Nothobranchius furzeri: one gene and its partner. The protein of the gene in region 1 purifies or fractionates together with the protein of each later gene. This does not show direct contact. Links are inferred from orthologs where the notes say so. Each region holds a gene or a part of one and is shown on either strand. Other genes may lie near its edges. The genes, in order: phgdh and epn1a.

What was found.
Region 2: the proteins of phgdh (region 1) and epn1a purify together in Homo sapiens (affinity purification with mass spectrometry; 3 studies listed by BioGRID and IntAct, with this or other methods). This does not show direct contact. The link is inferred for Nothobranchius furzeri from reciprocal best matches to the Homo sapiens genes PHGDH and EPN1.

What each region holds. Positions count from the first base shown.
Region 1 is NC_091754.1:20,298,822-20,302,739, forward strand, and holds the end of phgdh (D-3-phosphoglycerate dehydrogenase), read left to right. Parts: coding exon 1-18; intron 19-103; coding exon 104-256; intron 257-1,639; coding exon 1,640-1,778; intron 1,779-1,879; coding exon 1,880-2,007; intron 2,008-2,077; coding exon 2,078-2,300; intron 2,301-3,344; coding exon 3,345-3,499; 3' UTR 3,500-3,715; downstream 3,716-3,918. UniProt on the Homo sapiens protein: Catalyzes the reversible oxidation of 3-phospho-D-glycerate to 3-phosphonooxypyruvate, the first step of the phosphorylated L-serine biosynthesis pathway.
Region 2 is NC_091745.1:76,110,133-76,113,950, reverse strand, and holds part of epn1a (epsin-1), read right to left. Parts: intron 3,771-3,818; coding exon 3,613-3,770; intron 3,444-3,612; coding exon 3,372-3,443; intron 1,204-3,371; coding exon 1,120-1,203; intron 1-1,119. UniProt on the Homo sapiens protein: Binds to membranes enriched in phosphatidylinositol 4,5-bisphosphate (PtdIns(4,5)P2). Modifies membrane curvature and facilitates the formation of clathrin-coated invaginations. Regulates receptor-mediated endocytosis.

The DNA of each region.
Region 1 (3,918 bases):
CTCGACGTGTTTGTTGAGGTAAAATCGTAGCCACTGGGTGACTCTCAGACATCTGCAGTGTTGCCGAATTCTTCCTGTGTACGTTTTGTGTTATGGGCTGCAGGAGCCGCCGAAGGACCGCTCTCTGGTGCAGCATCCAAACGTCATCAGCTGCCCTCACCTGGGAGCCAGTACGAAGGAGGCTCAGGCTCGCTGTGGGGAGGACATCGCCTTGCAGATAGTGGATATGGTGAAGGGGAACAACCTAGTTGGAGCAGTAAGTCTAATTTTACTTTCATGTAGCTTTTTTTTTTTTAATTACCAGCTTTGTTCTTACATGTTTGGGGGATTCTATTTTGGGAACTTTGTAGAAAACAGAGAAGTGGATTTAAACCCTGCAGAGCCCTAAAGATGAAGTGAAACCAGTTTTTATGCGTATGTTTAATGTACCAGGAACTTATATTCTGTCATGTCTCGTGGTATGTGTTTAACCCAAGACATGCAGTAATCTGACTCGACGAGCAGGTAGGATGAAATTAAAGTCTTTATTTATTAACTGGAAAAAAAGGTGCACAGGGAAGTCCTGTGGAGAGGGTGAGCAGTAGCTCGAGTCCATAAACGTTCGGGGAGATCGAGGTGAGGAAGCCGAGGTGAGCTCAAGTCAGTCCAGGGGTGATCAGGAAACAGGTTAGACAGCGGAAGGGATCCAACCAGGCATAGCGGAGGAGGATGGGACGTGGTGTGAATGTCCAGTCAGTAAAACAGCAAGTTGAGGCAGGTTGAATGGGATTCTGGAGAGAACAAACAACATCCAGATTTCAGGGTAATCCAAAGAGTAATCAGAGCGGTCCAAGTTCAATAATCCTAAATATCCTATATTCGAGTGACGAGTTCACAAAACAAGAGCGAGTGGCTGGGACTACCTATACAGGGGCAATCATCCGGCGTAATGAGGAGTCACCATCCTCCTTTTATACCCGCGTCCCTGATTGGAGATGTTCTGCAGCTGCGGCCCCCTCCGCTGTCACCTGTGGGAAATCAGTCAGATAGAGTGAGATGGGGGTGATGTCACTCACCTCGGCTCAGGAGCATCACATATTCAGCTGAAGTGGTGCCACTGCATAGGGTGTCCTGATTCTTTAGTGTAGACCTCGGCCCCACTCCTTTGCTCCCTTGATGCTCACTTTGCTGAGGCCTGCATGGACGTAGACTTTGGCGAAGGGTATTACCCACAATCCATTGCTGCATGGGAATTTTGAGAAGAAGGTGGAAAAACATTTCTGCTGAAAAATGTTGTTGAATGATAACAGTGCTGGTGTGCATATTTGAACATGATATAATATCATTTTAAGCGACTGGCATCCAAATTTAAGAAATCACAGACATACAATGCGGTGGCACAGGTCGATGACAATGCTCACTGTCTCATTTCTGCAGTTATTTGCACACTTGTTTACTACGCACTGCCTGGAGGATGTTGCTATTTTCATTCGAATGTCCTTCAAATTTCCCTTTTTCCCCTCTTTGGAGAGGAGAAATCAGTCAGATAAACATTTGTTTCAATGGACATGCTAGTGGAACTTTCCAAAATCTTTGGAGGTGTGACAAAATGGTGAAGCATCACCAAACCACACTTTGCCTCTGTGTCCTCCTCGTACAGGTGAACGCCCAGGTTTTAGCCAGCACGTTCTCCCAGGAGTCTCAGCAGCTCATCAAACTCGGAGAAGCCATTGGAGCGGTGCTTCGGTCCTGCAGTGCATCCAAGAAACCACTCAGTCGTGTTCAAATCACCACTCAAGGTAATTTATCTGTTTCTTGTTCTCCCTCTAGTGGTGCAATCACAATATGACCAGTTCTTGTCCTAATTATTTCCCTTGCTTCAATTTTTTCCGCAAACTAGGGGACTGCATGAAGTCCTGCACCGGGTTCATGACCTCAGCGGTACTCGTCGGACTTATGAGTCGGGAATCAGGATGTTGCCCGAATCTCATCAACGTACTGAGCCTCACCAAGGAGACCGGAATCACGGTAATAACAAATACCACATGACAGTAGTCTGTTATCCATCCAAGAACTAATGACTGAACTATGTCTTCAGGTGAATCAAACCCACTGTGAGTCTGGCGGGGTAGCAGCAGGTGTGTGTGAGGTGGTGATCGAAGCCGATGGCTGCAGCTTAAAGGGCATCGGAGCAGTTCTAGGAGGCGTTCCTGTCCTGCTGGGGCTGAGCGACAGCGTGTTCAGACAACCCGTCACTCTGGCTGGAAATCTGCTGTTCTTCCAGGCCTCTGCCAGTCCTCAGCTGCTGTCCTCGGTGGCTGGTGAGGAAACACATGACTGCATCAAAATCAACACTGTTTAATTAAAACAATTGTTTTATTTATGTGTCCTTCTGTGTGAGGGTGCTAGATGTAAAGTCCAGTTTGAAATGGAAGACATAAATAAAAATGCACTCATTGATGAACCATTTCCTCATAAATCATTGTCACCGTGGTGACCATCAGGGATTTCCACCCGTACATTGACCCTGAAATTATCAATGCTAATGAAACATATTGCTTCTTAGATGATCTTTTTTGCAAACTTTAGCTTAATGTGGATATAATTCTAATTGTGGCTCTGTTTAAAGGTTGTGAACAAAGAATACCTTACCTGCTTTAGATTGAACAAACTCAGTTTAGAGGAATAGTTTAAATCTAATCAGATTGAAGAAGAAGAAGAAAATATCTTTTCTACAGCGCCTCTCAAGATAAAAGTCACGAGGCGCTTCACAAAAACAGAAAATGTAAAAATATAAAAAAGAATTTAGAAAATGGTTAAAAAATTATTTAAAATGAGCAAAAAATAGACAATTGTGATTAAAAAATGTCCACTGAGTGAGTCCACTGATCTCAGGCTCAGAGGGAGAGAGTTCCAGTCTGGGGGCCACAGCAGATTGATGAGCTAACAGCTAGTTTGAGTAGAGGCAAGACCGGAAGGAGTTAGTATAATCTTACCCAGTCTCAAAAATTCAGTTTTTCCAACCTTTGTGTAAATAGCTATTAGTTTAGCTATTTTTGTTATCTATGTGCAAAAATAACTATAGCTATTAAAGTACATCCTGGCACACTACTTATAGGATTTTCAGGATATTTCTGCTGGATTGTCGATGCAATGCAACCCTAATTTAAAGATTTACTAAAAGTTTTATTTTGAAGGGGAATTGTGTGATTTAAATCACATCTTCTGTCACTCTGATGCTTTTACCCATGACAGTTCTTAGTTTAGATGAAAGGTGCTGATTTAGGAGTTCTAAATTACAATGTTTCTGGACTCTTCCCCCTTAAATTCACGCCTCTACTCCCTTTCCAATTGTTTTTTTTTAGGAGTGTTGGCCTCAGAGGGAGTGCAGATCGAGTCTTTCAGCGCTCCTGTGGACCACACCGGGGATGTGTGGTATTGTGTGGGGGTGTCCTCTCCCCTGCAAGATCTCAGTGCCTTGGAGCCTTTGGTTAAAGATGCAGCTCAGCTTTGTGTTTAGGATGTTGGGAACCATAGTCCCAGAATAACATTTAGTATTTGAAAAATCTTTAAAGCTCTTAGGATGAATGCCTTGTTTTGGATTTGTTTTTATGGTTAACATCTTCTTTTAGCAGTTGCAAAAGTTTAAAACTTGTATTTTTGTAACATTCTGGTGTTTAGTTGTTCGACAAGCTGGAAGTAAAATACAAATAAAGTGTTTGTTGTGTGCTGTTGAGTTTGGCGGTTGTGTCATTGGAGAAAAAATGTGAAAAAAAAAAGATGCTGTGACCCTAAAAGACATTTAATTTAGCATAAAAGGCTTGACTGTGAAGCTGGTTCAGAGCATCGTATAACATTTTTACACTTGTTAATTAAAAACAGAGACAATGTGTGATTTTTACTAATAATCTTTGGAAATATCCATCGAAATGTTGTTTT
Region 2 (3,818 bases), on another chromosome or scaffold:
TCGCCATGATGGACGGCAAAAAGACCGTTTACACCCGTAGAAACTCCAGTGAAGGTAGTCAAAACAAGTCAGTTTGTAGCTTTTTATCGCTTTTATTTAGGTGATTTGACAGTAAAATGGTTTTAGCTTGCTGCGTGGTCGGCTGCACTAACAGACAAGGATGTAAACTCAACTCCTTTTGTTTTTTTAATAACTTTGATGGAGACTGAGGACGGAGATGAACTGCAGCGATCAAGCAGCCCTCAGATTTGCAGCGAACATGTTTTTACCGGGTAAGATTAACGTTAATTTATTTCACGAGGAAGACAGGGACAGGGATGAATGTGATGTGTTTATACTGGTTATTGATAAACCTGATGGATGGGTATTTCACCACGGAGGATGCGCTCCGTCCACTGTCGTGTACAGCGAGACAATTATTAACAATATTAAAGCTCCGATGTATGATTACGTGGGTTAAAATTACGTTATTTATTCATATGAGCGTTGGCGTTCAGAGATCTTCTCATTCCGGTGTGAGAGCAGCAGCTGAACCCGGTAACACCACCAGCAACAGAAGCTGGTAGGGATCCGGACTTTTTAAAAATCAGCTTCGGTGTAAAGTGAAACGCTGTTTACAACATAAAGTTATAAATCCAGAGGGGTGAATTTAGGCAAAGTCAGCGGTGAACAGCTGCAGAGAGAACGTAAGCTAACGTTGGTAAGCTAGTTAGCATACCGCTAGATGCACTACTTCTTCTGATAACTGAACTGGGCAAGAACTAGTGGAAGGAATGCTGGAGGAGTTTTGTTTTTGTTTTGATCGCAAAAACAATTTCAGGCTCTTCTTTTCCCTTTGTTTAGTACTCGTGTCGCTCACTGTTTACATGCTTTTGCCGTCCAGCATGGTGGACCCACGTGATTAGGTGACGTCGGTGCAAAGGGTCAAAAGGTTTGATTTTTTTATTTTATACAAACTTTATGAGAACTCCTGTTATTCTGTTATGTGCACAGTTGCTGTGTAAAACCTTTTGGCAGTGAATGGGACGGACTACAAACACACATCTGACATATGTAGCAGATGAAGCTAAAGCCATGAGAGTGAGAAATCATCCACACACTGACTGATGTTTCACACACCTCTTCTGGTTTGGGTTTCTCCCTCTTGCTCTCTTCAATGGCCATCTGCAGTCTCAGATCATCGCCTCTGCGAAGCCGCTCCTCCTGCCAGTCACACACACACACACACGCACGCACACACACACACACACACACACACACACACACACACACACACACACACACACACACACACACACACACACACACACACACACACACACACACACACACACACACACACACACACACACACACACACACACACTTACTGGACAACTAATCTCTGAACCTGTGGAAACTGATACTTCATTCATGATTAACACTAATCAACCAATTAATCCAATAGTCATGCATGTTAGAAGGCCCGAGGAAGCTTTCTTACTTTAATGAAGTTTTACTCGGGAAACAAGTCAAATGGAAAACAAAAATAAATGTAACTTTAGACGGTTTAGATGAAGAAACTGCTGATTCTGCTCCATTTCTGTCATGATAAATGATAGCGCCTCTCAGAGGAAGGACTCCAAAGTGCTTTACACTACAGTGTATCATTCGTCCATTCACACACACATTCACACACTGGTGGGGATGAGCTACAATGTAGCTACAGCTGCCCTGGGGCGCACTGACAGAGGCGAGGCTGCCGAGCACAGGCGCCACCGGTCCCTCCGACCACCACCAGCAGGCAAGTTGGGTTAAGTGTCTTGCCCAAGGACACAACAGCAGAATTCTCTGTCCGGAGCCGGGATCGAACCAGCAACCTTCCGATTACTGGACAACCCGCTCAACCTGTTGAGCTACTGCTGCCTACTACAGCCAAACCAATGGATGAAAGCAGATAAACATTCTATCAGTTAACCAGCTCTACTCTATTATTAAGAATCTTTTAGATGCATTTAAACAAACCACCTTTTATACAACTATTACAGAAATGATTGACTATCAATCAGTAAATTAACCAACATCAATACCATCCTCTTGGAAACACCCACTTTGATTCACAGACTTAAAGGGACTTTACTGACTTTTGAATTTTTATGCTCGCGATTGCCCCCTCAGGCCAAAAGCGTAATGGCAGCTTCAATAGTAGGCTCGTGCACGAGGCGCGCATGCTGTACGTGCGCACTCCTTAACGAAAATAACAGCTGAGACAGTTCCGTGTGTGTGTGTGTGTGTGTGTGTGTGTGTGTGTGTAGCCATTAATGTAAAAAAGAAACTAAATGAATTAAGTTCACACCCAGAATTGAACCCAGGTCTTCTGCATGAGAGTCAGACATCTTACAAGGTGAGCTACACTCTAGTAACATTCACAGTATCTGTAACATTTATATCCTTGATGACAGCTGAAACAACATCAAACCAAAGAACGGTTCGGAGTGAAAATGGCTATTTTGTTGATATTTTGCAGGAAATATCTAGAAGAAAGTTCTACAGAAAGTAGCTAAGGGTCCTCAGAAATGTAGCTAGCTTTGTCACTAGGCATTAGGAACAGCGACAAAGTGGCACTGCCTCTCTCTCTGCTGCTAAAGCTACAGATAGCAAATGCTACGGGCGATGCCTGAGCGTGAACGCGCATGAAGCAGCCTGCTCGACCCGAGCATCTCTCTTTTTCTGTGATTTTACAGAAAAACAAGCAATCACAGTAAAAATGCCAGGGCTCATTCTACAGGACCAGGGCATTGCAGGAGAATGTATGAAGAAGACATTTATTATTTCTATACACGTTTTGGCTGTCAAACTTCCATAATGTCCCTTTAACTCAGGTAGTTCAGTCAGCTGACCAACGTACTACTTGAACCCCAAGTTTTGCACCAAGTAAACAAATCAATATAAAGTTATTACAGCAAGAAAAGGTGCAGCAGGTAAGAAAGTTTTTCAGATCAGTGCTGCAGTTGAATGCATGCTACAAGAAACGGAGGGGGAAAAAATCAATACTTACAACACATCCATTCATGAATATGTCATGTATTGGCAAATATCATGCAAATTAATTAATTACGTTTGATTACTGTTCAATCCTTTCAGGGTTTGGCACGTTTTTAGGATTATGAAGGGATGTGACGCGGAACAGCAAAGTCATTTATCGCAGAATAACTGCAGTCTTGTGCAAAAAAGAAAAAAACACATCCAAGAAAATCCCAAAAGACAAAAGCAAGCATAAAGTTTGTTGATTAATCAATATTTGGTATGCACTTGAGTAATTCCAAGTGACAGGAAAATAGATAGTTGATGACGGGCTCTCCACTCAGCAGAACACACTCTCTGCCCCTGACCTTTTGGTGAATCTCTTTGCTGAGTGTGATTGCATAGCGAAGCTCTGCATCCTCCAGAGGGTCCGCGCTATTCTGGGGGAGGTCAGTGGTTAAATGGTGAGAGCCAAGCTAGGTGTTCTGCAGCAGCAGATAATACGATTACACTGTTGCTGCATTGCACTGAAACAGCAAATGTTGCTTAAAAAAAAAAAAAAAGAGCGTGTAAGCTAGCGCTGCAGGCTAATAAAGAACTCTGTGATACCTGTTCTGCCTCTTCTTTGCTCATGGCCAAAGCCAGCTGAAGCTGAAGGTCTTCCTCCCCTGAGCTCTGAGGCCACGCCTGCTCAGGATCTGCCCCTAAAGAATGAGAGCCCATGGACAGGCTGCCACCAAGGCTGGGGGCTGATGGGGCTGAGGATGCTGCAGTGGACACACATATGAGAAATATGGCTTGTATCCAACCACTGG